4 linked regions of the Rhinolophus ferrumequinum genome follow. The protein of the gene in region 4 purifies or fractionates together with the protein of the main gene of each other region. This does not show direct contact. Links are inferred from orthologs where the notes say so. Each region holds a gene or a part of one and is shown on either strand. Other genes may lie near its edges. The genes, in order: AURKA, SPAG9, LRPPRC and NFKB1.

Region 1 (7,508 bases), on a different chromosome or scaffold from region 4:
GCATGAAAAATGTTTTAAAAGACCAAGACAAGCTCTGGGTCTAAAATCGGGCAAGATGTTTGCCAATGTCAACTCACTGTGTCGTGGAGGTACATGACTTAATACTTTACAAAACTAGGTACACCGACCAGGTTGCATGCTTGGAGACAACACTGTAAGGCAATGCGGGTTAGGCTTCAACACGCAAAGTCACCGCCCCCCAGTTTTTGCCTCCAAAATTCTCTACCTTAACTGCAACTACAGAAACTCAAAAACAGCATTCGGTAGTTAAATTGTCCATTTCTGCCCATTCCGGGTTTTAATATTTTTAGTGCTGAGATGTTAGCAGCTACGACGCTCATTATGTCAGAGGTAGTATTAGCATTAACATGAAACATTTGAAAGAATGCTGCTACTTTATCAACATGCATTTTTAAATTTAAAAATAATTCACGTATCATATAAACAATGTTTTCTAGCATAGGAAAATATCCATAGGAAGGAAAAAAAAAATGATCTTATGTCGCCCAACGGTAATTACTGTTAACATGGCAGTATGAATTCTTCTGGACCTTTCCCCCTGCACAAAGTTGTTTCACTTCTTAAAAATAGAAGAACCACACTATATGACGTGTTCATTTATTCACACAGAATAAACATCTAGCCAGTGTAATAAATGTTCATCTACGTCACGTTGTTGGATCCAATTGTATGGCTATCAGAACATTATTAACTAATGATACACGTTGTGCATTTCAGTTGTATTCATTGTATTTCCTCAGGACAAATTCTCACAATTGGCCCTGCCAAGTCAAAGGGTATAAGCATGTTTGGTAATTCTCTGTTTTACTGAGTGTTTTCCGTGACCCAGGCAAGCAGCAGGGTACACTGTCGAACAAGACAAGACAAGGTCCTGATCTGGCGCTTGCGCTTCTTTTGAAGGGGGAGGTATGGATTGTGTGGAAAACCTACAGCAATAAAGAACATTTCAGACAGTAATTCTGCTAGGAAGGAAATGGGACTGTTGTTTTAGAGAAACTGGCGAAGATGGTGGGGTTATTCTAGAAGAGGAAAAGAGGACTCAGAGATGACAATTTGAGCTGAGACTTGAAAAAAATTACACATGACAGAATGCTCCAGATAATTCGCATAAAGATGCTGAGGCTGGAACCAGCTCAAAGTCTTCATAATTTGGACGATCCTTACTCCTTCAGTATCTAGCACTGTATTTGACACATACTAGGCACTAAAATTAAGTGGAAATGTCTTGAAAAATTCTGATGTGTGAAAACATCTGAAACCTCGTCATGGGCTCAATCAACGTGCACTCCCAAGCTACCGAGTTTGATGAGATGCAGGAGCTGCTCTGAGGGCGCACAGACAGACTGCGGCTTGATCTCGTTGATGAGGCCATTGGCAATGCTGATGTAGCCGTCATACAGCAGCTGGCTAATGATCAGCTTGTAGAGCTGCTGGCGGTCCTTCAAGCCCACTTTGGTTCTGTACATCTTGAAGACGCGGAAGACACTTTCCCTGTCAGCTGCAAGAGAAAACGAGTGGCTGATGAGGGGGAGGGTCACCGGTAAATCACAGAAGCAACCAAGAAATCGGGTCAGATTTGCGGCTCATCAGTCACAGCTCTACCACCTGCATTATCTTTGCCCAGCGACCTCGTTTCTCAATCTGGTTCCTCAGCTGTTAAATAAGTTAGTGATGGCTAAACAAGATAGTGTATGTAGGGCATTTCTTCTCTGCTAAACTACCCACCTGTGATTTTCATTTTCTTGCTATCCCAGAATTTCCATTCCTTCTGTTAATAAAACATTGACTGGTGTTTGCAACAGGTAAGATAGCTGTTATTATTGGATGTCTAGGCACTACTGTTTCCACCAGCTGAGCTGTATGCTTACTAATGTCAGCTATATTCATTCTTAAAAAGTTTTAAAGCAACTGAGGTTGTTAAATTATATAATTTAATTAAACAGTAAATAAAATATGAAGGCAAAAAAGCTACTGTGCTATGAAAACTAAGTCAAGTGAATGCTTTGGAAAGATTCAAAGGTGAACTGCTTAATAAAATATGAACAAATAGCATATGGACAAAACAATAATAATAAATGGAAAAAAATGTAAAACTCTGAAAGACTGTACACTTAGATTGATTTATAAGTGTCTGAGTTCTCCCTCAGTCTTAGAAAGTGAAGAGAAAATGGTAGTGATGGTTTCTGGTTCATGCAAAAAAGAAAAGGACTCTAATAGGTGGACATGACTAGACAATATGATTATCAAAAGTCAACGTGTGTGGAGCCGGCCCGGTGGCTCAGGCGGTTGGAACACGTCCTCAACCACAAGGTTGCCGGTTCGACTCCTGCAAGGGATGTTGGGCTGTGCCCCCTGCAACTAGCAATGGCAACTGGACCTGGAGCTGAGCTGCGCCACAACTAAGACTGAAAGGACAACTTGAAGCTGAACGGCACCTTCCACAACTAAGATCGAAAGGACAACTTGACTTGGAAAAAAGTCCTGAAGTACACACTATTCCCTAATAAAGTCCTGTTCCCCCTCTCCAATAAACAATAAAAAAAATCTTAAAAAAAAAGTCAATGTGTGTATGTATTTGTACTCAGAAGGCTGAAGGAGCCTGGGGACAGCAATAAATAAAAGTCCCATGTAGTTATGGTAGAGAAGAAAACTGGAAGGAGAGCATGGGAGAGAGATGAATAAGAGGGAGGGGAGTGAGTGAACAGTAACACTAGCACTCCTGGTATTGCTGTACTTTACAGGGGTGACTCTGGAAGGGGGGTGTTATAGGAAAGGGGTGGGAAACCATGTTTTCTAACTACACAATTACTGAGGCTCCAGATCATAAGAGCTAACATCTACCAAGTGTTTACCATGTTTTAGCTCACGTATTCCTCAACACCATCCTATAAGGGAGGTCCTATAATCTTGTTTACGGAGGAGGGGAAATAACTTGCCCTGGGTCTCCCAATTTGTGCCTGGAGGAACCAGGACTAGAACAGAAGTGGTTTGACTCTATAGAGACCGTTATTCCTAACCACTTCTTGCAGTGTTCCTTAAAAACTTAACAATAAACTAGCTAAAATGTATTGGCCACTCAGTACAGTACATAACACATCTTGTAAGCAACTAACATGCATTACCTCATTCAATCCTCATCTAATCCTGTTTTAGAGATGGGCAACCTGAGGCCCAGAGAGATTTAACTCACCCAGAATCAAACAGCTTGTAAATGGCACAGCCTGGACCCTAACCAGTCTATTTGGTCCCAGGGCCCGAGTTTTACTGTGCTGTACTGATGGGTGTTAAGAACAACAGCTAACATTTATTAAGCACTTGCCAGACTCCATGCTAAGTACTTTATAAGCATTAGCTCATTGCATAACATCATTCAATGTATTTAAGTACAAGTAGAAGCGAATGTATATAAACCTATGCTTGTGTAGACACAAAAGAGATGATGAAACTGGATCAAAGAGACCCACTGAAAGTAAAATGTGGCTGAGTAACTCGTCCAAGGTGAAAGTGGCCGCCAAGACCGTCCACACCGGAGCCCAGAACTTAATCGCTTTCTATCCCGTCTCTCCACTTCTGCCAAGAGCAACAAGAGGTGTACACAGAGAGTTAAAAAAATTAAAGAGAGGACGAGCCCCGCTTCTCAACTCCCACGGAAAGTTCGTTCGCTGGGCTAGTAAGCGCCTAATTACCACCCCCGATTTGCAGGTGAGGACGCCCAGGCACGAGGACAGGAAGAACCCAACCCAGGAGCCAGAAGACGGACCAGGGAGGGAACACACACAGCTCAGAACTTAACGCTCCGCTACCGTCCCGACACAGAGGCAAAGTAAGGATGGAATGAGGGTGGGAGCGAGGCCTGTGTGCAGCAGGGGGGGTGCAGGCCCAACCTGGCAACTCAGGGCGCATGCCTCCTCGCTCACTATCGACCCTTCCCGCCTCACCCCAATCCTTCCCATGGTCCCCTAAAGGCCCCAGCCAACGGCACCAGCCACTCTCCACGTATCCGGGGCCCTCGTACCCGCTTGTCCGGTTCTCACGTTCTCCTGCTCTCCGCTAGAAAAATGGAGGCGCGAATCCTGCCCGATTGATCACTCCGAGCGCACCTTCATTGCGCACGCGCAAAGGACGCCGCACCGAGCGCTGCGCTATCGATCGGCCCACTCTCTCCGGTCCATCTCGCCATCTTACTTACTGGCGCCTTTAAGGGGTCCGTCCGTTCACCTCCTCCGACTTTATCCCCTACGAGACAACCCTGAAGCCAAGGGGCTTCTGTCTCAGACAAAAGTCAAGCCCTGGAGAACACGGCGGGCGCTAGAACAGCTACAGGCCTGCAGGGCCGTTGGCACCACCACTTCCGGGACCTAACGCGCAAGTACGCCTGCGCGCCGTGTCTGCCGTCCTTGGACGTGACTCAATCCGCAGAGTTGCCTGTGAACCAATGAAAATGCAGCGCCTCCCCAGCCCAGGCCAATCAGCTTTTGGATTAGAGAGTTTAACTCCTATTTAAAATGACTCTTTGAATCCTAACGGCTGGGCTCTCGGGAAGACTCGGCGGCTTTGGGTCGGAGGCGAGAGCCAACAGGTGCCTAGGCCTTGGTGTCCTTCTGTGAGGTGGGCAGGCAAAGGCGGCCGGGCTGGGTGGCTTTTTGAGCGGGCGGCGGGCCGGGTGAGAGGGAAGCGAGCACTGAGGCCGCGAGTCCCGGGCTGGAAGAGTCGGGGTGAGAAGGCCTCCCTTGGTTCCCCGTCCCCCTCTGTCCTACGCTTGTCCCTCCCTCCATCCTCTCTTTGTCCCCCTTTCCCTGTTCTCCGTCTCCCGTGCGCTTTGCAAACGCTCTCCCATCTAGCTGCTCCTGGGTACCAAGGCTCCCTGTGAAATGCCGCTTAGTGTTTACTAAACACCTGGCGTTAATGGCGTTGTTGGGGTGGGATGTTTTCTGTTGGGATTCTCCTATTCAGTGAGCGCCTGAGTAAGAAAAAAATACAGAAGGTGTGTGCTGTCTTGGAGTTTATTTCTAGTGGGGGTGGGGAGACAGACGACGAACTAGCAAGGGTAACTTCCAATAGTGATGAGTGGTAGGAAAGAGATAAAACAGTGTGTGTGCGCTTTACCGGGGGCTGCCTTGGGTAGAACAGCCAGGAAAGGCCCTTGCCCTGGCTGGATGGACGAGGGGGTGAATCCATGATAGTCAGAAGCCTTCCTGGGCTTTTCAAACCTTAGACCGCCTATATCGAAATTACTTGGGCGTTTTTCTTAAGCACAGAGGCCCACCCAATGAATCACGAAGGGCTTGGGCATAGGACTCAGGTGTCTACTTTTATCAAGCTCCCCAGGTGGTACTGATGTTTGACAACTAGTGATCTAGACCGGCGCATCTGGGAATGTTGTTAAAATGCAGGATCTGATTTGTTAGGTCTGGGGTGGGCCTGAAAGTCTCTATTTCGAACTGTCCTTGTGATGTATATGTAGCGACTGCTCTTGACGTCTAATGTCTCCTCCTCAGCTTTGCTTGTTTGAATTAAATCCTTTTCAGCAACATACCTCATTTCATTTCCTCTCCACCCCTCTTCATGTATGCAGATATTACTAGGTTGCACGAAGGAAGGAAAAGTCTAAGCCCACAGGGCTTATCTAACAGTTTTCCTGTGTAGAATACCAGGATCGCTGGTTTGAACTGCAGGGATCTTGTGAAGGTCATCTGGTCATGTGACTCCTGAACTTGGCTCCACACCAGAAGCACCTGAGAAGCTGTCTTCCGGGTGCTCTCTCCAGAATTTCTGGATCAAAATCTTATTCCTTGTGCTTATTATTATTAATCTACCTGAGAAGGATATCAAAGTGGAGCCCATGTCTGCAGTTTCTGTGGAAGAACGTTGAATAGGTGTCCTTAGGTCTACGTGATTTCCTTAGTCTGCTGCTTATAATTAATTGTTAGGGAGAGGAAAGCAAGCAGTAGGGTGTGTGAGATTAACATTTGCAACACATGAGCATATATTTCCTTCTCCTTTTTATCTATTGTTTCTCCTACCCACTGTTTGATATAAGGATGCTAACCTCTACAGCCCTGGTCCCATCTTCAAGGTGCAGTGATTTGCATGTACAATAAGTGGATGTGAAAGCCTAGTGTGGGAATGCTTTCTAATTGGATTCTAGAATTCAGAGAGCACCTGGGTGAGAAAAATACAGAAAGATTTCTGCTTATTGATGATCTACTTACTTGACAGGTTGCTGCCTGATTCACAGTATGGGCTTACCACGTGTTGTAAACTACTTTTATGGTTGATTTGCTTTGTTAATGGATTTATTTGTTCCCCATACATTGGCATACATGCCACATGCCAGGCGTGTTCTGGGTTCTGAGGGAGATAGTGAAAAAAATGGGACTGATTCCTTGTTCTCCTGGAGCTTACTCTCTTTGGAGATACTGAACAGGTAGCTGGAGTCTGGGTAGACAGGAAGCAAGTACAAGTAATGTTATGTAAGTAAAATGTTAAGTAAGGGATATGAAGAAAAACGCAGGAGAGGTGGTCTGATAGGGGACATTTGAGCATAGACTGAAGTGAAGGAGCAAGCCGCACTTCTATTGGGGGAAAAGCCTTATAGGTAGAGGGAACAGGAAGTGCAAAGGCCCTGTGGCAGGGAACTCCTTTGAGGAAAGAAAGGAACCCCGTATGGCTGGTGTGCAGTAGACAAGAGATAAGGATGGAGAGGTGGTCAGGGTCCAGGTTCTGAGACTTCATAGGCCTAAGTCTAAGCTAAGTGAAGAAAGGAGTGGAAAAGGAGCGATGGAGCTTGTCATGCTGCCTAGAATGCAAGTAAGATGGAGGCGGAGAATTGACTTTTGGTTTTGGATAGTAGGGGTCAGTCAGAAAGTTGACTAATAAATGGGAGCGGGCTCAAGGGAGGGTGTGAGAAAGAGCAGGTAGTAGAGATGACCGCGTGGACTGTTGCAGAGTTTTGCTGTTGAAAGGGGAGGTGAGAGATGTCATATCTTGAGTCCATTCTGGGGTAGAGGACTTTTTTTTTTTAAAGACCAGTAGGTATGCGAGCAGGCTTATATACTGATGGAAGTGATTCATTAGAGAGAAGATGACGGAGTAGGACGAGTCAGATCAGGAGTGAAGTCTGAGTACTGGGGAAGGGAGGGGATGGGACGCAGTGTATGGGGGGAGGTTGGTCTTATGGGGAAAAGCCCACACCTGTACGCTATATCACGAGAAAGCATTACGCCCTAATCAGCTTCTTGTGGACGAAGAAAAAGGGTAAAATTCTGTGTTGTTGAGGCTTTTTCCAGGCGCTGTCACCCTGATGCAGCGTAACAATACTTTGAAGCAGGTGGGTTTGTATAAATTAAAAGTTCTTCTTTATTCTTTTCAGACACCATGGACAAACCTAAGGAAAACTGCATTTCAGGGCCTGTTAAGGTAAATAAGCTGTGGTCTGAGTCCCATTTATAAAACCCGTATGGAGATCGGTCCTCTAGCTGGAATTT
Region 2 (6,862 bases), on a different chromosome or scaffold from region 4:
CTAACAGGAGAAAATAACCAAATGTATTACATGTATATATACTGGGATGCCATAGCAGTATGGGCCTGGAGGGCAGATGGGGAAGTTAAGGCTTGTATGTCATCTGGAACCATCCTGAACCAAGGAGAAGGTGGGGTTGTGATTTGGGATTTTAAAGGGCAGGAAGGCAATTCTCATGGAGATGGAAAAACAAATGTTTGGTAAATCAGTGTTTGCTGGGATCTTTAACAAGGGGATACTGACAGGACTTTGATCAAAAGTGCCTTTCTAGGTTTCTCTCTATCACACTCTATAGTAATAGCTCCCTTCCTGGAGCAGATCCTCTATCCAAATTCTTTTAGGCAGGGAGGGTGAAGTTCAAAGGTTCTTTCTGAGTCTTTCGTTATTTAACAGGTTAATATATCTCAAAGAGGCATATTTTGAGGTGGCAAATGCTGCTTCTCCTTGTCGCGGAGCACGTTCTAGTTTGTAAGGGGTGATGAATCACTTATCATTTCACACCGCCATAGGTGGAAGGCCCTGTGAACTGGGAGCCCTCTTTTCCCTTGTCAGCAGAGAGACATTCTCTCTTCCCATGTGAGAAACCGTCATTTGTGAAACCAGAGAAACTGATTCACGTAGAAATAACTAAAAGTTCCAGAAGGCTGGACAAACAACAGGACTAGTCGTTTTAGTCTTCCAGTGATTATAGTTATTGTACTTAGGAAGAATCTCCTTCCTTCCTGCCCTAAACGACTCCTCCCCTCCGCGGCTCCCTTACTGGCCTCTATTTTTGCAAGGCCAAAGAATTTCTTAAAATGGAATTTCCTTCCTTTTAGGAATCAAGAGTAAACATTTACTCTAAAGTCCACTGCATGACCTGTTTTCTTGAATGACTCTTAGTCTTTAATAATAATCTCAGATCTTGGGGTTAGAGGTAGGTGCTGGGAATTTATCCAAGCTGTTGGGTATAGGAGTTAGCATTACCGACTACATAATTAGGAGTTGACTAACGGGACTCTATCTCAAGGCCCTCTCTTTTCTGTCTTTCATTCCCACCTACAAAGGAGAATCACAGAATTTTAGAATTGCAAGAAATCTTTACAGATTCTATAACACACTTCTTCATCATGCAGATGAAGAAGCTGAGGCTCACAGCCCATTATTACAGTCACTGGCACCTAGTAGGTACAGTACTCAATAACTACTTGCATTATAGTTTCTGGCCTAAGTTCAAAATGACCAGTCCATATTGGAATATAAGATCCCCAATTTAAAAACCATTTTCCTTCCACTCTATCACACTGAGTTATGTACTTCCATTTGGTTTACTATAAACTCATTATAGCCATAAGTTTGACTTAATTTTAACAGCTTCATTGAGATATGTCACATATCATACAATTCACCTAAAGTGTACAAGTCAATAGCTTTTAGTATATTCAGAGTTGTGTATCCAACACCACAATCAATTTTAGAACATTCTTATTACCCCCAAAAAGAAACCCTAAACCCATTAGCGGTCACTCCTATTTTCCCTCTTTCTCCCACCTACTCCTAGAACAACTACTGTGTTTCCCTGAAAATAAGACCTAGCTGAACAATCATCTCTAATGCGTCTTTTGGAGCAAAAATTAATATAAGACCCAGTTTTACATAATATATGACCTGGTCTTATAGTAAAACAAGACTGGGTCTTATATTAATTTTGCTCCAAAAGACGCATTAGAGATGATTGTCTGGCTGGGTCTTATTTTCGGGGAAACACGATAATCTTTCATATGTGGTGGCCCTTTGTGACTCGTTTCTTTTACAAAACATAATATTTTCACAGTTCATCCGTGTTGTAGCATGTATTTCTTTTTATTGCTGAAAAATAAATATTCCATTATATGCATACACCATATTTCTCTATTCAACAGTTGATGGATATTTGGCTGAATTTTATTTTAAACAAATTTGATTTCTGATAGCTAGCAGGAGCTTAAAATCTAGACATAAATATATATCTCTATGTTGAATTTATACGTAAAGAAGCATACTTATTATGAAGACTTTATTATTTCATACCTGAAAATCAAGACTTTTTTTCTTAAAAATTTTCTGATGGGGGTGAGGGGTGCTGTTAGCTCAGTTGGTTAGAGCATGGTGCTGGTAGCACCCAGGTTGCTGATTTGATCCCCGCATGGGCCAAGGTGACCTGCGTCCTCCTTAAAAAAAAAAAATTTATGTGTATAATAATATTGGGGAAAGACGAAGTAAAACCTTGCCCTGAGTTTCCCTGTTGCTCTGACTCCCAGGAAAATACAGGCACATATATAGGTAGATTGCCTAAGTGACAGCCCTCAGGAAGAGATAAAAAAGAAAAGAAAGATGCAAAGCACGCCTCTTCTTCTGGTTTCAACTGTGAGATTTAGAAGAGAAAGGGCATTTGGGGCTCACACCCAACCAGCGGACCGACATTCCTAAAAGCCGGGGATATACACAAACAATTTAAGGGGTGGGTGTGGAGTTGTGGGGTGAGAGTGAGAAAGGACAATACAGGACGCAAATTCAGTCCCGTCTGACTTCATAAGGCTTAGTATTTTCATTTTTGTCCTTCTGAATTTATAGGTTGGCCCTCGCTCAACCTTCGTACTGTTTTTGTGGGTCTCCAGGTAGGTCCAGATTGGGAGACTTTGGAGGACTAGTTCGTGCTCGGTAGGAAGAACTCGCACTTGTAAATACCAAGTTGAGGATATTTATAATCCTGGGAGGTGGCCGATTTCCCACTACACCCTTGTTTATGCAAGGCCTGCCTCTCCTCCCCCGCCCCCCGCCGGGTCCCCTTCTTATTAGAGTTGGACCGCAGTACTCCTGAGTCACCTGCGGGCGGAGTGCAGGGGCTTTGGGGAGTGTCTTCCGATCCTTTTGCAGAAGCTAGACGAGTACACCGGGAAGCGATTCTAGACTCAGCCCGCCGCAGGCTTGGGTGTGTCATTCCCCACACGTGATGCTCTCCCGGGCGGTGGAGACCTCACTTATCATGGGACTTACCCCAGTGATCCTACCCCTTTCCTTCTCTGTTCCCCAACCCCCACTTCCCCGCTCCGCCCCCACTTCGAGACAAGAGGAAAGGGGGTTGGCTGGAGCCAGGAAATGCCTCTCCCAAGTTGGACGGGAGAAGCAGAGAAATTCAGTGTTTGGGAAAGTACCAAGATGTGGCATCACAATTTTATCCTTTCCAGAATGCTTTGCACTTCCTCTGTTTCAACCTATCCTTACTCATGATCCCCAAATAGGTCTATCCTATTGGAGACCTCCTTATCACTTAAGACAGACCTTGACCTGGTTAAGGTTGCTTTTCTCCGAGCCTGCCTAATTCTCAGTCAGAACTAGTTTGAGTCTCGGATCAGCCTCCTTCGCGTTCTAGCTGCGTGACCTTGAGTGAACCACAACTTTTCTGGGCCTACTTTCCTAGTCTGTGAAATAGAGGTCAAACGTCTACCTCATCGCGCCCGTATTGAGGAACAAATGAGAAAGCCCTTTGTGAGCTGTAAAACAATAGAAATGTTAGTTATGTTAATTCTGGACAGCTACGCACGATTCCAGAAGCCCTCCCTTTCCTTTGGGCCCCGCCCTGCAAATCACGTCTAGAGCGCACAGTCCCCACTACCCTACTCTCGCAGTCTTTCTCACTGGCGAACGCACGGCGCGCGCGGCGCCGACTGTTGACGCCTGGCCCCGCCTCCGCCGGCGCATGATGACGCGTTGGTCCCGCCCCCGGCCGCGCCTGGCCTCCCGCGGGGCCCCGCCCATCGGGCAGACGCGGCGCCGGTCCCGCCCCGCGGGTGACGTGTGCCGCGCACGGCCGGGCCGCCCAGGCAGTTGGTGCAGCGGCCGTTGGGTTGAGTGCGCTCACCCCACCCCTCCCCTCCTCAGGCCCCGGGCCCCCACCCCGCAGGGCCCAGCCCCAGCTCCAGCCCCAGCCCCAGCCGGGCCCGTCCCGTGCGGGCCCGTGCCGCCCCTTCAGCCGGCGACGCCCCGGGCCGCCCGCTTGCCCGCCACCATGGAGCTGGAGGACGGTGTAGTGTACCAGGAGGAGCCCGGAGGCTCCGGGGCCGTGATGTCGGAGCGGGTGTCCGGCCTGGCCGGCTCCATCTACCGCGAGTTCGAGCGGCTGATCGGGCGCTACGACGAGGAGGTGGTCAAGGAGCTGATGCCACTGGTGGTGGCCGTGCTGGAGAACCTGGACTCGGTGTTCGCGCAGGACCAGGAGCACCAGGTGGAGCTGGAGCTGCTGCGGGACGACAACGAGCAGCTCATCACCCAGTACGAGCGGGAGAAGGCGCTGCGCAAGCACGCCGAGGAGGTGAGGGCCGGCTGGCTGCGGGGAGGGTCCGCGCCGAGTGCCGGGGCGGCCGGGGTCGCCGCCCGGCCGGGGAGGGGAGGCGCGCCCGCGTCCGGCCTGATGGGGGCGGGCCTGCCTGAAGCGGAGGCTCGCGGACCCGCCTCGGCGGCCGCAAGGTTCCCGAAACCCCCGGCCGGCGTGGAAAGCCGAGGCAGGCTAGTGGGTGTCCAGGAGAAGGGAGGGAGCTGGGGAGGCAAGGCCCGGGAGGAAACCACAGCCTGGCATTGGGGCACCTAGGGTGGGCTGGGGGCAGAGATTTCAGAGTGTATGGTTGCCTTTTGTAGTTTAGGGAAGTTTCCGACCACCATAAGATACTCAGATGGCGGTTCAAACTTTTACCCTGGGGACGGGGGTGCATTTAAATACTTCTGTCCTGGCTTCGTAACTTCCGCTGACTCCAAAACCTTTCCCGGGGGTTACTGCTATGGGAAGTTAGAGCTCTCCCTCTTTCGATCATGTTTTTTCTTGACGTTTTAACCCTGTTGAGAAAGAGGTTTTATGTTACGTTTCATGTGCCTCGGTTGACTCTTTGTCAACCCTGAGATGTTGTATAGCAATACTCTGTAAGTATGGAGTATACAATTTTATTTTATTGGTATCCCACAGCAAAGCATTCCTCCATATCAGGTGGTAGGTAACCTTGGACAGTTCCCTTTAAATATCCTGTTTGTTTATCAGGAGGACTGGCGGGGGCGGGGTCGAGGAGGTGTAGGTGACTTGTTGGCAGCCCTTTTACGACTGTAATTTCCAGGTGCGCTTGGCGGGCTAGCACCTCAGCAGTGACCTCAGTACCCGCACCGAGGTCTGTGAACCTTTTGGAGCTCTGGTGGTGTTCAAGAGATAGGTCTTCGACTTTTTGAGACTTTCAAGGATTTTCGCTTTCAGGCTGTGTTGGCATTATTCCGATGGAACTATCTAATGCAGGGGAAGTATCCTATTCATCTTTGTTTCCTGAGCATCTAGTATACCTGACTAAATTACAGGATGATTGAAGGAAGCTAACTCATTGAAGGAATGACGTGGTATGTTTCAAAAATACTTGCAAAGGTTTTAGGATGTGAGATTTGTTTACCAGCTTGTTTCCTAACACTAAGTAGTACCACTATGTAAACTTTCTGTTTCATCACATATACCTTTGTGACAGGTCAAATCGTTTTTCTTTTTTAAGCTTGACTGTAGTTATGATTTTTAGTTCTGATTCTGTGATCCATTTGTCTCAAAGAAATGTTGTCAAACAAAATTGACTTTATTTCAAGAGCATTTCCAAGCATATAGGGAAGGAGCGGTTGGAAAAAAAATCCAAGGATGGGGGTCACAATTTCCACTAGTTTATTAGCACTGTTTATAGAACAGAGGTCATGTACTCCTTCTGAGGTGGCATACATACCAGGTCTTCCTGCTCAGACAGGCCCTTGCTAATGTGTGGATGTACTTGGATCGGACTGGGAAATTAATCACATATACACAGGTGAGGAGCACGCCCAGCATGACCTATAACTTCGGATAAAAGAAATACTCCCTCCAGTCTTAAACTGTCAGTCCATGCAAAAACCAGGGCAAAATGCCAGGGTCACATGTGCCAAGAAAACCATCTGCCACAGATTGCAGAATCAGAAAATAAAACTAACTGCTAGACTCTGGATTGCATATTAATTTCTTAAGCAAATGACTTTAAAAATAGGTTATCCAGTGACTTTCTTGTAATTTATACTTTTTCAAACACATCTATAAATTCTCTATAATGAAACCTTCGGGCAAAGGGCCATGACCTGAGAATAGAGAACACTGATGTAATGCTAGATGTGCCAACTCCCAGACCACAAACATAAAACCACCTTGTTATCAGTCTTCATGTAAGATCATAAATCAAGTATTACCCTCTACCCAGAAATTCAGTCTCTTTTAAGTCAATATGCGGAAGGGAATTCTGTGTTTAATTTTCTGTGAGTGTTTTGTTTGTGGCCTTTAATATGGAGACTAAGAGTCTGCTATTATAGCAAAAGTGCCTCAGGGTATTTACAGCAAAAGTATTTAAAAGCATGGAAATTGTCCATCACTAGAAACTGTAAAGTAAATTCTAAACACCTTTGTGGAAATTTAGGAGGATATGTAAATGGTGAGAATGTTTTAAGAGGTGTGAAGTGCTATCTCTTGCTTGCAGGAATTCTCAGCAAGGAACCAGATGTTTAATCTTTATTATAACGATATTACTGAATTTGAATAACTTCTCTCGTTTTCTTTGCTTTTATTTGAATTTTTTGTGTGGCATTAACCTCTTTTTGTAAGTCTTCAAAAACAACCTAAAGGAAGGCTGATTTTTGTGATCCGTTTCAAAAATTCAGGAACCCTATTATCATATTGCTCACTACTTTCCCCTTTGGGCTCCCTGCCCCAGTCTGTCTTTTCATTCCTTAACCATGTTCTGTCTGATGCTTTCGCCTGTGCTGTTCCCTTGGCCTAGAATGATTTTCCTTCAGAGGTTCACCATGGCTA
Region 3 (7,242 bases), on a different chromosome or scaffold from region 4:
TGTCTTCTTACAGCTGGTTTGTTTGAACGATCAAGCACCATTTAAAAAAAAATGAAATAGAAGAAAATAGATTAGTAAATATCCCAGTGCATCACAGGTAACACAGCTTCTTATTGTTTTATGAAATTTATTTTTGCATGTGTGTATTTGTGTCACTTATAAAATGTACTTTCTTACCATTGGTCACAGTCACAGAGGCAGGAAAGCCACTGGTTTCGTGATCGTCTCCGGGCAGACTCGGCAGTTTTAGGAGGGATGTATGTACAGGAAGGAGAGCTCTCTCTGCTCTTGCTGTTCCCAGCGCCTGGAACACTCCCCCCCCATCCCCCCCCCACCCCCGTGCCACCATGTCCACCATTTAAAATTCTTCCCCAGCCTTCAAGGGCTGAAATGCCATTCCCACCTTCTTCTGTTCTCCAGCCCAGCAATCACTTGGTTTGCCTCCTCTTTGTTGCACTCATCACACTGCCTTATGTAATGATTATCTGTATACAATAGTATGTATTTTATCCTCCCTTAATAAAATTAAGCCCATCAAGTATAGTATTCATAACTTCTTTGCCCTGGGATGTAACCTGCCCTATGCTTTGCTTACACAAGACATTTAACAGCTGAATACACTGAGTTAGGAGTCTGAGACCCTAGTTATAGGTTATTAGGCAGTGAAGATGTTGGTGTCAAATATCAGACCCAAGGAAAGACTGGAGAACCCAAATGCGTGAGGTTTAGACGTGATTGTGAAAAGCAGCAACAATCGTAGTAGCTACATTATTTTTCGGCGCTTCCTATGTACCTGGTACTTTAAGTACTTTATGTATTTTAACTAACATTCCCCAAAAAGTCCTGGGAGGAAGGGATCGGTATCGCCAGTTTTACACATGAGGAAACCAAGCACTTAAATACTTTTGCAAAATCTTGCATCTAAGCTGTCCTTCCTAGTAAGATTCTGTTCAGAGGCTATACCATACACTGGGACATGGACCCCTAATTTTCTTATCAACATGTGAATCCATTTCATAGTTCAGAATAAGCTAAGGGAGAAACCAAGGATCATCAACCTGGCCTTTTCTTCCTCTTTGTCACAGCTTCTGGAATCTGAAGAAATCTGAGAAGAACTTGGGAAGTCTGAACTGAAAAACAAGCAAACATCACTCCTTCTTTCTCTTACACAAACATATGAAACACACACACGTGTGTGCACACACCTTGCATGTGTTAACAATTATTCATCCTTCCAATCTCAAGCTAAGGATCCTTTCCCTGGGGACTTTTTTGACTCCCAGGTGAGGCATACTCTCTCGTGGAAACAAGCTTCTTTCCTTCAGAACCTCTGTTTCAGTATGTAATTCATTCAGTGTGATTATTTGATTACCTTCTGGAATGTAAGCTCCATAACTGTAACGACCACTCTTGCTTTTGCCCATCATATTTTCTTCTAGCACTTAACAAGCTACGTGGCAGATCTTAGGTGTTCAATAAATAGTGAATTAATAAATCAATGCCTAGACGAATTTCAACAGTTGCTTCATACTTCAGGAGGAAACCCGGTACAGTAACAGAGAGAACGCTCGTTGGGGATTAAGGGTTTCAGCAATTAGAAGAGAAGATCCATTCATTCTCACTATTACCTCTATTAGTCTTGTTGCATCTATAACCAGATACCTGTCTTTCCTCTGTGACAATGACTGGACTGGCTGGATTCTCATCTAAGGTCAACCCCCTCACTTTTGTACTGGATCCCATCTCCTCTCGCCTACTTTGTGTACTCTTTCTCTCTCTCATGCATTATCAATTTTTCACTCCCTACTTCAGCACTGATCAATAGAATTTATTATGATGGAAATGTTCCCTGTGCTGTCCAATATGGTAGCTACTATTGGACACTTGCGGCTAATACCACTTGCGGCTATTGAGTTCTTGAAATGTGGGTAATCACTAAGGAATTGAATTTTTAAATTTTTATTTAATTTAACTTAAATAGTTACATATAGATAACTTCCATCAGCATCAAACATGTTATTTCTTCCATCTTAAAAAAAGTCAACCCCCCTTGATTTCACACGCCCTTCTAGATACCACCCCCTTTCTCAGCTCCCTCCTTCCCAGTATATTCTACAAAAGGTTTGTTATGCTCCCTGCCACTTCCCCTTCCCTCATGGACTGTTAAACTAACTTAAATCAATCTTTTGACTCAACATCACCATGGACCTCTGAGTTGCCAAATCCTATGGTCATTTTACCAGAATTAAAAGCAGCATTTTATGTGGTTACTTCCCTCCTCAGTTAATTGGGACTCCACCACTTTCTCTTTGTTCTCCTCCCCTCTCTGGCTATTCTTTCTCATTTCTAGTACTGGATTTTCATCTTCACATCCTCTAAATATTGAAATGTCACAAGCCTCAGTCCTTGGACCTCATCTCTTGACGATCTATATTTTCTTGCAAGATGCTTTCGTTCATTTCCATGGCTTCAAATAGTAGGTATAGGCCGGAGATCCCCCAAATGCATGTCCAACTCTGAACTCCAGACTTGAATGTCGTACAGACAACCCCCTACTCAAACTTGACATGAGGATGTCTAACAGGCACCTCAAGCTTACTATTCCAGAAGATCACGTTTGATTGCACCTTTTAAATCTGTTTTCCTTTAGTCTTCCTCCATTTTAATCAGTGCCATTTCCATTTTTCAAATTGCTCAGGCCAAAAATTTTGGAATCATCCTTGATCTCACAGCCAATCCATCAGTAAATCCTCTCGGTTCTACAATTTGAGTGTAAACCTGATCCTTTCTCATTATCTCGCCTGCCACCCCCCTATTCCGAGCCACTAACATCTCTAGTTATTGTAAGAGCTTACTCATTGGTCTCCTACTTTTATTTAGCTGTATTTCCTTAGAACCACCTCTCCAAACAGCAGCCAGTGATTCTTTAAAAATGCAAATAGGTTCATACAGCAACATACCAAACTTTCCAATGGTTTCCCATCTCATTCTGAATAAAAATCAGAGTCCTTACAGCAAGCGGGATGTAACAAGCTGCAAGATCTGGCCCCAACTACCTCAGACCTCCATGCCCACTCTCTCTCTCCTCCCTGCCTTGCTCTTTCCTCACATCCACTGTCCTTACTCCTCTTTGAAGGGGGGTAAGGAGAGATGAGCTAGATCACCTCAAAATACACATTTACTCAGTAAATACGGAATGAAACCTACTGGGAGCGTGGCATTGAGTATGTGCTTGGGCTACAAGATGCAGTCACACACTCCCTGCTCTGAAGGAGCTCAGTGTCCAGTGGGATAAACAACCAAACCAGGAAATTACCATGGAGGGCTTCCAGAGGAAACTTCTGAGTGTTCACCTGGGCATGGGTAGGATACAGACAGGTAAAGAGGAAGTGCTTCCCACGTGTGCACAGGGAACCCTTCCAAACTGTAAACCCTGTGAAGGCAAGGGCCTCCTGTTTTATCCCCAGATTTGGCTCCAGACTCTTAATCATATCGTTCTTACCTCCGATGCTGGTGCATTTACTGAAGGAAGGGCAGCACGGAAGTTGGGGAAGATAAGTTCAGTTCCAGCTTTAAAACTACACGACCTCTGTTAAGATCCACCTATGTCTTAAACCAGGTACTGCTTACAGACTTAGGGTTGGACCTAAACGTGTATCTTTACATTGTCCCCTGACCCCAATAGTACAAATCACATTGTATTTATCCTTGGAGGCTACTAGCACAGTGCAAAGGTCCTCAACGTTTCTTCCCTTCCACTTTTCTGAGAGCTATGGAATCTTCCTATCAGCCCGGCAACTTCGGCGCCGAGTAGAAACGGCTGAACGCCCGCAGCAAGCTCCGCACTCGACAGAGAATCGCTCCGCACTCCGGGAATCTTCATAGTCGGCAATTCTCGAGAGTTCCCGAGGGTTTTTGCTGGTTGGCCCCCCGCAAGCCCCTGCGGTAACCTGGGAGGAGTCGACCTCTTCCGACTCTACCAACTGAAAAGCTCAGGGGGTGGAGTGATTTAAAATGATGAGACGAAGGACAAAAGACGGAAAGACAGTTTTCCTTAAATAACGAATCAAGCCACATTGTCATTAAAACGGGGTATGGGACTCTCATATCTCCTCAGCGAAATAGGTCTTTCCACTTTCCGAGCTAAAACAACCCTTGTCTCCCCCTACATCTGGCGCGCTCGACCTTTGGTCTCTCCCGCGCCGGGCGACCCCGCGGTCACGTGCTCCTCCTGTCCTTCTAGCCGAACGTGCAACCTGCAGTGGGGACAGCGGAGCCATGGCAGCCCTGCTGAGATCCGCCCGCTGGTTCCTCCGTCCCGGGGCGGCCCCGCGCTTCCCGATCTCCCTGCGCCTCCTCGCGGGTGGCCCCGGCCGGCCGCACGCTGCCCTCTGTCGGCCCGCCGCTCGCGCTGGGCCTGTCGCCCGGTGAGTTGCCCAGGCAGTTCCCCCAGCCCGCCTGCAGCATGGGCGTCCCCTGGGGTCATTGATGCTGCTGAGGGACGGGCCCCTATTGTGCCCTCTCCATGCCTTTTTTGCCGTTCCACGGCCAACCGTCCCGGGGTCTCGAGCCAAGCTCCCCAGGTGACTGGGTTGGTTGTCTTCAGAAGGTCATGGCCGCGGGCATGGCTTGCTTCCGTCTTGGATTCTGCCCTCGGGCCACCGGTATTTACGGCCTGTGTAGCTGAGGGCCTTTGAAGTCTGTCTACAGCGAGGGTCAGGTGTTAGTCCTCTCCTTAGGATGAATCGGCTTGGGTGCTGTCCCACGTGCAAGCATTATTGGTGCTCAGTAACCAGCTAGGACTTAGATTTCGAGAGTTTTATTGGTGGGGAGGAGGATAGGCTGGGAATTTTGGGTGAGCTAGGGATCGCTTAGCGATGGACGTTTCATTATGATCAGTTTGGGCTTTTGTCTGAATTTTCTTGAAAGGAGTTTTCCTCTCAGTATTCACAAAGGTATGATATGGGTTGGGAATTGTCACAGTAGGCTCTTAGTGTAAGTGAATGAATGAGTGCAAAGCACTCCGTGGGGTTCTGGGGATGCGAAGGCAAGTTAAATTCTCAGTGGGTGTCAAACGTGTAAATAAATGCCCTCATGAATTGAGATTTATCAGGAGATTGGTTTGGTATATACTTTGGTGGGAGAGGCGATAGGGAAGCTGGATGAAATTGTTAATTTGCATAGTATTCTGAGAAGGGGAGATGGGCGCTGAGGTTTTAGAATTGGAGAAAACTTGATTTCGAAAGACTGGTGTTTAAAGTAAAGGTATTTTGGAAGAGCGTGAGGACTAAGAGCTAAGTATCTGGAATAGACCAGGGCTGGACTGCAGACCTCTCTATTTGCATAATACCATTGGACAAGTTACTTGACATCTCCAGGCCTCAGTTTCCTTAGTTACAGATGGAAGTTGTAATAATGTTGGTAGTATTGCATGTAAAGCATTTAACATAAGGCCTAGTACCAAGTAAGTGCTTTATTAGTTACTATACTAGTAATAACTATGTATGATTACATGGATCTTTGTGGAGCAGCCTGGAAACCTCTCTACGTAAAATTGTACGAAGGAAATGTTTTATGACTTAACAACTGAGTTATAAAATCTTTGGAATGTAGCCTACTTGTAACCTGGAGCCTGTCTGGATTTTCTCATTAGGCCTCATTAGTTAACCTTCAGAAGTTTCACCTCTGCTTTTGCAGAAGTAAGTTTCTTGTGAAAAAGTCATGCTAATTAATTACTCTTATTTTTCTAGTCCTTAACATCCCTCTGGGGCCAGAGGAGGGTCATTGTTACTGTTCATGTTCACTGTTGGGTTTGAGGGAAACAACAGAGAGAACAAAGGAGTAGAAAGGGTATTATAAAAGGTCTGGGTGTTCATCAGACCTGGGGTCCTTTGACTTGGCTGTTTGATCTTACCTAACCTCTGTGGTCCTCAGAGGTAACAGGCCTTCCTCCTTTGTAAAGCTGATTTCCTGTCATTCAGGGCTCAACTTAAATGCTGTCTCTTCAGAGAAGACTTACCCCAACACTCAATCTAAAAAACTATCCTATTTTAGTTTTATCATGGCACGTTTCACTTGTTGATAATGTTTATTTTTCCTGTCTGTTTTCTTAGTAGAAAATGAGTTGCATGACAGCAGAACTTTGTCTTGTTCACCACTGTGAACAAGCTCATCACTCAGCGCATAGCAACTAATAAGAGAAGTATTTGTTCCTTTTTCTCCTTCAGTATGAATACTTGTTTCTAAAGTCTCCTGTCCCTCAGCCTGTAAGCTGCCCAGATCCCTTCCTTCCCACCTGTAAAACAAAGCCTTCCCTGGGACCCGGGACTTACTCTAGATGTTTCCCAATCTCTCTTTCCTGTCTGTGCTCCTATCTCCTTCATTTCATCACTTCACATTCACTCTTCTACCCACTGCATTCATCACTGCAAAAGCCATCATTGTCTTGTTTACTCATTGTTATTGTGTATCTTTTTTTTATTAACTACATTAATTTTTATTGTATGCTTGTGTATTTTCAAACTATAAAATTTGTGCTTTGGGGAACAATTGCAAAATACAGGGAAAAGCAATAAACTGAAAATCATCCTTAATTCTTCTAATCACTTACAATTAGACTCCTAATCACTTACAATTAGACTCTGTGGTAGCTCCCATTAGTTCCCGAATAAGGTGCTTCATGATTTGGATATACCTCTGGAGCCTCGCTTCTTAAGAGTTTTTTCCCATGGCATCCTGTATTCTGGCCATACCAAACTACTACTTCAAAGTCAGCAGGGCTTATGAAACTATAATGAGCACAAGAATTTCTTGGAGATCTTGTTAAACAGATGTAGGTTTTGATTTTGTAGGTCTAGGCAGGGGATGGAGATTCTGCATTTCTAACAAGCCCCCAGGTGATAAAGGTGCTGCTGACCTGTGGACCAGCAAGGCTCTGATGGGCCACGGTGTACATCTCCCTGCCTTTGCATAGAATGTTCACTTTTGAGGTGTCTCCCCTCCCTCCGCTCAAGTGTTCTCTCCTTCTCTGTTAAATCTTTGTTGACTGCTTCTCTCTTCTGACCTCTCCTTTCTTCTGCTTTCTCTCACAGCGTGAATCACTAAAGTATCCATTAACATGATTGCATGTGTACCCTCCAGAACTCCAGACCTGGCTGTAAGTCCCTTGAAGGCAGGAACTTGGTCTTATGCTTTTTGCCTTGAGTTGAGTATATCAATGAAAATCTTAGACTTTGAGGACGG
Region 4 (7,792 bases):
AATTCCACTTAAGTCTTTTTGTTACAATGTTATAAACTCAGACCTTGTAAGTCTCACTCCCCCTCATCTGTCTGTCTTCTTTCTTCTGATCATTTTGCTATTGTATCATACCTACCATTCCAACATCCACTACATGCTATCTTCTTCATCAAGTTTTCCTGAAAGAAACAACAGTATTCATAATAATAACCAATATAAATGCGAGTTTCCTGAGCATGTGGCACTTTGGTCTGCACTTCATGTGCATGATCTCTTTAGACCCTTACAATAGCACTACAAGGCGGGCATAACTATCATCCTATCTTACAGATGAGAAAAAGAAGGCCGGAACAGTTATGCACCTTGTCCAGGGTCACATAACTACTCAGGGCAGAACAGGAGTGAATTATTTTCTGTGAAGGGCACAGTCAGGCACTGGCTTCCAATCTGAAGGTAGCACCTGTTTTCCTCAGTCCGAGAGCTTAACCACCAGGCACAATGCAAGCACTGTGGTCTCTCTCCCTACCTATGCCTAAGCATTTGCTTAAACCTCCATGAAGGCATTTACTGTACTCTGCCTCATACTATAATTACACGCACTCTTTTGTGTTTTGTGAACTCTTTGAAGGCAGTGATGATAGTGCGTAAATATTCATTTGAATTGATAGAAAAGATGCTAGTATCCTTAAGACCAGTGACATTCTTCTTGTAAATTTATTGTCTCATTTCAGTGTGTCTGCATTGCCAACGGAATAAAACTCTGGATTCTGCATATAATCTCGAGAGGAAGATGATCTCTACGCCCTCTTCTGTTGATTTTACTCTTGGTGATATGACCCATTACACAAATCACTTTTGTCCTGGCTATTATATGAGGTCATTCTTCCTGGCTTTATATTGCGAGCAGAGATTACATCTTCTTTTTCTTTTGTAACCACTTATACAGGCTAATTGAGTGCTCCGTCAATAAGACCTGTAACTGCAAGCACAAGACAGAATATGGCAAGCCTTTTAAATGGAGGTGTAATGAAATACTCCACTATCAACAAGGAGAGATGCCACTATTGTGTGCCCCAGTAGTCAACAGTGCAAGCATAGAAGTCCCTTAAGCCCACAAGGAAATTAATTTCAAGTCTTTTTTCTTAGACTAACTTTATGTTTGTAAAACCTTTTACATTCTTTATCTCCTATTTGTTTCTAGACCTCTGTGAGGCAGGATTGTAATAATGTAACATATATGCATAATGCAACATATAAGTTGTTACTTATGTATGTATACATACATGTGTTAATCTACTAACTTGTGTTGCTATAACGAAATACCAGACCCTGTGGTTTATAAATAGAAATTTACTTCTCATAGTTCAAGATCAGGGTGCCATCATCGTTGGGTAAGGGCTCTCTTCCAAGTCACAGACTTTTAATTATATCGTCATACGATGGTAGGGAGCAGCTGGCTCTCTTGGGTCTTTTTCATAAGGGCACTTATCCAAATCCTGAGGGTTCTGCCCTCATGACCTAATCACCTCCCAAGTGCCCTGCCTCCTAATACCATCACCTTAGGGGTTAGGAATTCAACATATGAATTTTGGGGGAATGCAAATATTCAGATCATAGCAATACAACATACATAAAATGTTATGTAAAGCTATTCTAGAGCTCATCATATGAACTATAATGTTATGATTATTGTACAGGCAAAGAAACTGAAACTCATACAAAGCAGTACTTGGCAAAAATTACACAGATAATTCAAGGCAAACCTAGGATTCCAACTCAAGTCTGATTTCAAGTCTACTCAAGTCTTTCCATTTTATCTTACCTAACAGCTGTGGTCTGAGTGTTTCTAAGCATGTTGAGGTGCCTTCGTGACCTGAAGCAAGTTCTACCCTTTACAGAAATATAGTTCACTCCTGTCCACAAGATGGGTCTGAGTTTGCAGGGCTCAGATGTATAATTTTGTATTTGTGAATCCCCTTCACACACTATATAATCTCTCATTGTCAATGGACACACTATATAGATCTCAACCTAACAAACTTCTGGACACTGACATTTATAATACTCAGTTTGAAAAAGGAAATTCATGTGATTTCAAAGATTTAGTGATAAACACAGTACAACTTTTATAAACTTGATGCCTAAAATTCCACATTTAGGCTTTTTTTTTCATTATACTCTGATAATGGCAAATGCCCTCTGACACCTAATTTGTAAGAAACACTCCTGGAAGCAGGTGTAGAGTAAGTATTGGGAAACAAAGCAGCAATGCAGAAAGGTTAACTGATAAGCCAAAAAGAGTAGACTGGGGGCTTTTATACTTTTGTCTGCTTAGTGTATTTGATTGTGTCCCCCTCAAAAATATGTCCAAGGCCTTATCCTAGGTACATATGAGCATGACCTTATTTGGAAATAGGGTCTTTGCAGATTAATGAAGGTAAAATGAGGCTATACCGGATTGAGGTGGGCTCTAGGTCCAATAACTGGTGTCTTAATACGAGAGAGAAGAAGGTGATTTGGATACAGAGACACAGGCAAGAAGGCCATGTGAGGACAGAGGCAGAAATTGGAGTTACGCAGCTAAAAGCCAAGGAATACCAAAGATAGCCGGGAGCTACCAGAAGCTAGGAAGAGTCAAGAAACGATTCTTTCTTGGAGCCTTCAGAGGGAGCATGGGTCTGCTGACACCCTGATTTCCGATTTCTGGCCTCTAGAACTGTGAGAGAATCAATTTCCATTGTCGTAAGCCACCCAGTTTGTGGTAACTTGTTAAGGTACCTCTAGGAAACTACATACTCCTGCCTAACACCCAGCCCTCAATTTTAAGTCCACTCTATTGGATAATTTTGAGTTTGAAATTTAATTTAATGTTTTTCACTAATTAACACCTTTTACTTGTTCCCAATATGTCACGCTGGCTCTATTCTTCCAACAATCCAACCCTGTCTGTCCATTCTTTCGGCAACAGGCTATTCACTACCCCCTCAACGCCTCAACCCCATGCCTGGAATGAAGAGTGTGGCTGTTCACACCTGCTCCACAAACAAGAAAAAAACACCACCACTCCTCTAATACTTGGTTGTTTCATGGGAGTTTGCACTATTTATGCTCATGTCAGTGACCAAAAAATATATACAAAGGATATATTAATCTAAAATACAGTATTGGCGCAATTTCTAATAATGTCCCATACGTAATAACGCAGTGTTTGTAAAACAGTCTTCAGTCTTCATAAATCGCCTGAATTACAGCTGTTCAAACAGCCTGTGGGAGTTAAACGAAATCCCTTGAACGTAGATTGTTGGTTGGTCCCCAAGGTCATTGCAGAGACTCACCCCGGACCCAATCAAACGGATCTCTACTTCTCCGCCAAACACTCCACCAAGAAGATTCTTATAACCTTGGGGAGGTTGGGGCAAGGGCGAGGAGGACGACTAAAGGGAACATGGCCAACTTGCTAGGGGCAATCCAATGTCATAGCAACACTGCCTGGTGATGGCTTGATGACCTATGTTTTAAAATATGCAGTTGTCACAGTGGTGAGATAATGAACTCTAAAATATCCACTCAAAGTTTCTCATTGAGGGAGCTAAACTACCCCAGGGTATCCCCAGCCCGTGTCTAGCGCAATGCCTGGAAAGTAAAGAAGCTCAGATCTAGTGAATGGTGGGATGCCTGCTGGACGTTCCAGCAGCGGTCTCTCCAGAAAAAAAAGAAAAAGAAAAAGAAAAACTCCCTTCTGTTGGATCAATATTTCTTTATGAGCTGTGGACCAAAACCACTGCTACCACCATCACTATAATTCTATCCACCGTAATTATCATAATGCCCTGTAGATGGGAGTTCAGAATAAGTCCCAACCAAGTTACCGAAACTCAGATGCTCAGACTGCGCTGGACAGAAGTCGGTTATATCATAGAAATTCCACTTTAATTTGTGAAAAGATTTGGGTGTAACTGAGACAATTTAAAGGGAACAGACAGATGAGATTTATTTTTATACAAGGCATGCTTAGCTCCACGCCGACTCATCATCCTCTCCAGGTGCTTGGGCCTGTCCTTAGGGGCTCTGGACCTCCCGAATCCAACAGCCAGCCCTACGCCACCGCCTCCGTGCCGCCTGCTTCCCGGGGCAATCGGGCCCCGGTGGCGCTTCAGGGGGCGTCCCTGGCCGCTCCAGCCCTCGGGGCTCCGGGAGCGCCGGCCCGGGAGCAGGAGCTCCGCAGGGGACTCCGGCGTCCGGGCCTCGGACCGCGCGCCTCGTTCTCCGCCCCGAAGCGGCCCCGAGGGGCGGGAGCCGAGCGGGGCTGCGGGGCCGAACCGGGGGCGCACAGCGGCCCCAGAAGTGCGGGCTTCCCCCACCCCCGGTGGCGACCCCACCTCCCGCCCCCGCGGCGTGCGCGCGTGTGTCCGTCTGTCTGTCTTCTCGCTCGACGTCAGTGGGAATTTCCAGCCAGGAAGTGAGAGAGTGAGCAAGACAGAGAGACAGAGAAGTGCACCAGCGAGCCGGGGCAGGAAGAGGAGGTTTCGCCACCGGAGCGGCCCGGCGACGCGCTGACAGCTTCCCCTGCCCTGCCCGTCCGTCGGGCCTCTCCTCAACGCCGCCGCCCTCGGCCTGCGCCCCGCCGCCGGCCCCTCTCCGAGACCCCGCGCAGCCCAGGCCAGAGCCGCCGCGGCCGGGAAGGCGGCGCCGCCGCGGCCCGGCCACCGCGCGCCCCGCGCTTCCCTCCGCCCGCGCTGCGACATGGCGCGGCGCTGACTGGCCCGGCCCGGCGAGACCGCGCGCCCTCTCGTCCGGACCCGATCAGACCCGCACTCGGACGTGCTTTGGCCCCGGCCGGCCTCCGCCTCCTCCTAACGCGGCCCCGAGGCCCGCGCCGCCCCGGAGGGGGAGCCCGCAGGCGCCGGGAGGCCGAGCGCGGACCCGCCACCACGGTAAGCCAAACTCGGGCAAGTGGGGGCCACGCCGGGGACTTGCGGCCCGAGTCCCGCCACCTACCCGCCCCGCACCCCTCCAGCCCTGCTAGGACTTCCTCATTCCTGCGATAGCCGCTACCCTGGACCCTAGGAGGAGGTTGACAGGAGTTAAGAGATTGGCGAGAGGGGGGAAAGGCACATCCGGACTTGGCGGGGGCCAGTCGGCCCGAGGGCCACGGCTGCCCGGGCTGCCCTTTCTCTTCCCGTCCTTCCGCCAGGCGGGAACGGAACCAGAGGGGAACTCTGGCAAACTTTTTTTAATCCTCACCCCCACTCCCTGCTGCGGGGTGGCTTTAAGGTTGAGGTGCGCTTGGGCGCGAAGGAAAGAGGGGAAGGTGGTTGGTGCAGTGCTGAACCAGATTTCACCTAAGGGCGTTCCATGAAATGAAAGCAGAAGTGCATGGCAGTCCTCTCGGCTGGGGAAGCCCTCCCCAGCTCCCCCAAATTGAATAGGACAGCCTTATTCCTTCAAAAAAGAAGCCCCCACTTCACACACACACACACGCACCAGGACATAATATATTCACCTACTATAGGATCTGGACATTGGTTTTCAAAAAAAAAACGAGGGCCTGAGACTGATCTCCAGGGCCTGGCATTTGAGAGAGAAAAGAAATTACCTATTTAGATCACTTTTTGGACACTCTGATTATGAAACACTTGGAAAACGGTACCATGTGTTGTGCATGACCTCTAAAACAAAAAAATGCTATAAACAAAGCCTAGCCTAGATCCAAGTTTTCTCATGGTCTTTAAAAATAAATAAATACTGATGGAGGTGTTTGCCCTGATTTATTGGCCTATTCTGAAACTTAAATGGGACTTAATGACACAGTATCTGATTATCAAGATTTAAGACATTTTCATGGATTTGTTAAGTAGGGTTTTTCAGCACTGCAGCTTATTAAATAACTATATTTAACTTACAGATTTTGTCATAAAGCCCATAATCTGAGAAAATGACTACAGTATTACTAAAACACTCAACAGCCCTGGCATACAAATGTTCTACAAACTGATGAGCTTTGGAAACCCTAAAGTTTGAGATCAAGATGTTCAGTGCTTATTTTTCTAGCAATACCTCAATTGAGTATTCTTGAGCACTTTGAATTGCATTAGCGTTTGTTAAAACTTTAAAAAGGAATCTTGATTAAAATAAAGCCCTTGGCTGAATCATGTTGTTTTCCTGATTTTAATATTGTGCTTTCTAGAAATGAATTCTTTTACTATTTCATGCACTAAAGAATTTTGGAAATGATTTAAAGCAAAGTATTTTTTTGAGCTTATGAACTTGGGAAGCCAGGAAATAAAAAGACTTGTTTCTTGTAGCCTTTTACATTGATCACGTAATTAAATTGCTACAGTGAGAAGAACATACATGGTAAATGTAAACATGAAATCTCCTGAAATTGTTTATCCATATTGATATACCTGCAGCTCCTCAATGCCTCCTGGAGCTCGTTTAGATAAAATGTCTTCCTGGGCCACAGCCTACTGGACAAACGTGAACACAAAGGAAGACTCATTATGTGTAGATTTAATGCTGGCACCGAAATACTGCTTATTGTGAAGAGTAAACCACTTCTAAATTGTTGAGAAGACTTTTTAAGGGAAATACTATAATCCAGTTGGGGTTGGGGGCAATTGGAAAGTCTATTATTTTTGTTTAGTAATTTCAATTTTGTCTTATGTTCGGCAGTTGGCATTCACATCAGCTGAATAAATGCCTCTATTTTTCAAACCCAGTTAGTAAATACTGGAGTATACATACAAAAATAGTTGTTCCCCTTCTTAAGCTCTGCTTTGATCTTTGCACTTCCTTCTTCTACCTCTTAAAACAAAATTGTCTGTGATGACTGAGTTGCAGTTGGTAAAAGCTCAATTAGTCAGAAATAGGCAGAATTTTAGATTTAGTGATTGTATTCCTCAGAGACGTATTTCTCTTGTCATGTTCCTTGAAACAATTTGAAGCTAGTTTGAGAAACAAATACATATGCAGGTTGTTTTTACCACTGCTTTCATACTTCCAGATAATTGATGAAATAAGTTTTAGTAGTACCTGATTTTCAGGTACTGCTTATTGTGGTAGATAGAAGGTCTAGATAAGGAATTGGAGGCTATAGGAATCTGGGACTCTCATTCAATCAGCAGGGCCTCATTTTCTACCCAGTATTCCCCTGTTCACAAGAGGTGAAAGTTCTGGCTTCTGAGGGGAAGTGGTTACTTCATAACCTTCAATTAGTTTGAACTTAGGAGAAGAAAGAACAATAGTTGACATTTTAAAACAATACATTTTAAAAAATGATATCTGAGTTTCCATATGGATTTTTGATAGTCAAAATATGATCTTTTTCTTCTTCAGAACTTATTAGTAGGTGTCCTGTTCTGAACATAGAGATGACTGCAGTAGAAAGTGTGTCTGGAAATGCAGAGCTGTTTAACCAATAGAGTAACTATTCAAATTATGCTCTTCTAGTCTACAAATTGAACATGAATCACATTAGCAGGAATGGATACATAAGAATCAATGGCTAAGCAAAATTTCTTATGAATTTACCTTACTTAGAAGGAAAGTTGCCTTGTTTGCTTGATTGGTTTTCTGTTTATATGACTCATAAAAGGTGGCATGATTGCTATATGCTGTAAGAAGAGAAGGAGAAGAAGAAGGAAGGATAGAATTTTAGTGCTGGAGGACACTTTCAAATGTTCTGTTTCTACATCTACGTTTATGTATGATATGAGTTCATTGACAAACGCTTTCTTGGTAACCAGTAAACCACATTGAAGCAGTTTACCCTGCTTTCTGGGAATTAACTCTCTTTGCACACTTGTACCTC

Evidence for each region.
Region 1: the proteins of NFKB1 (region 4) and AURKA purify together in Homo sapiens (affinity purification with mass spectrometry; 4 studies listed by BioGRID and IntAct, counting the BioPlex papers as one, with this or other methods). This does not show direct contact. The link is inferred for Rhinolophus ferrumequinum from reciprocal best matches to the Homo sapiens genes NFKB1 and AURKA.
Region 2: the proteins of NFKB1 (region 4) and SPAG9 purify together in Homo sapiens (affinity purification with mass spectrometry; 5 studies listed by BioGRID and IntAct, with this or other methods). This does not show direct contact. The link is inferred for Rhinolophus ferrumequinum from reciprocal best matches to the Homo sapiens genes NFKB1 and SPAG9.
Region 3: the proteins of NFKB1 (region 4) and LRPPRC purify together in Homo sapiens (affinity purification with mass spectrometry; 3 studies listed by BioGRID and IntAct, with this or other methods). This does not show direct contact. The link is inferred for Rhinolophus ferrumequinum from reciprocal best matches to the Homo sapiens genes NFKB1 and LRPPRC.

The regions. Positions count from the first base shown.
Region 1 is NC_046306.1:5,113,451-5,120,958, forward strand, and holds the start of AURKA (aurora kinase A), read left to right. Parts: upstream 1-4,508; 5' UTR 4,509-4,629; intron 4,630-7,393; 5' UTR 7,394-7,398; coding exon 7,399-7,440; intron 7,441-7,508. Other genes in the region: CSTF1 (cleavage stimulation factor subunit 1), read right to left, coding at 1,319-1,487. UniProt on the Homo sapiens protein: Mitotic serine/threonine kinase that contributes to the regulation of cell cycle progression.
Region 2 is NC_046304.1:32,604,718-32,611,579, forward strand, and holds the start of SPAG9 (C-Jun-amino-terminal kinase-interacting protein 4), read left to right. Parts: upstream 1-3,862; 5' UTR 3,863-4,027; coding exon 4,028-4,330; intron 4,331-6,862. UniProt on the Homo sapiens protein: The JNK-interacting protein (JIP) group of scaffold proteins selectively mediates JNK signaling by aggregating specific components of the MAPK cascade to form a functional JNK signaling module.
Region 3 is NC_046296.1:41,111,273-41,118,514, forward strand, and holds the start of LRPPRC (leucine-rich PPR motif-containing protein, mitochondrial), read left to right. Parts: upstream 1-4,231; 5' UTR 4,232-4,278; coding exon 4,279-4,427; intron 4,428-7,242. UniProt on the Homo sapiens protein: May play a role in RNA metabolism in both nuclei and mitochondria. In the nucleus binds to HNRPA1-associated poly(A) mRNAs and is part of nmRNP complexes at late stages of mRNA maturation which are possibly associated with nuclear mRNA export.
Region 4 is NC_046288.1:53,442,318-53,450,109, forward strand, and holds the start of NFKB1 (nuclear factor NF-kappa-B p105 subunit), read left to right. Parts: upstream 1-4,773; 5' UTR 4,774-4,913; intron 4,914-7,792.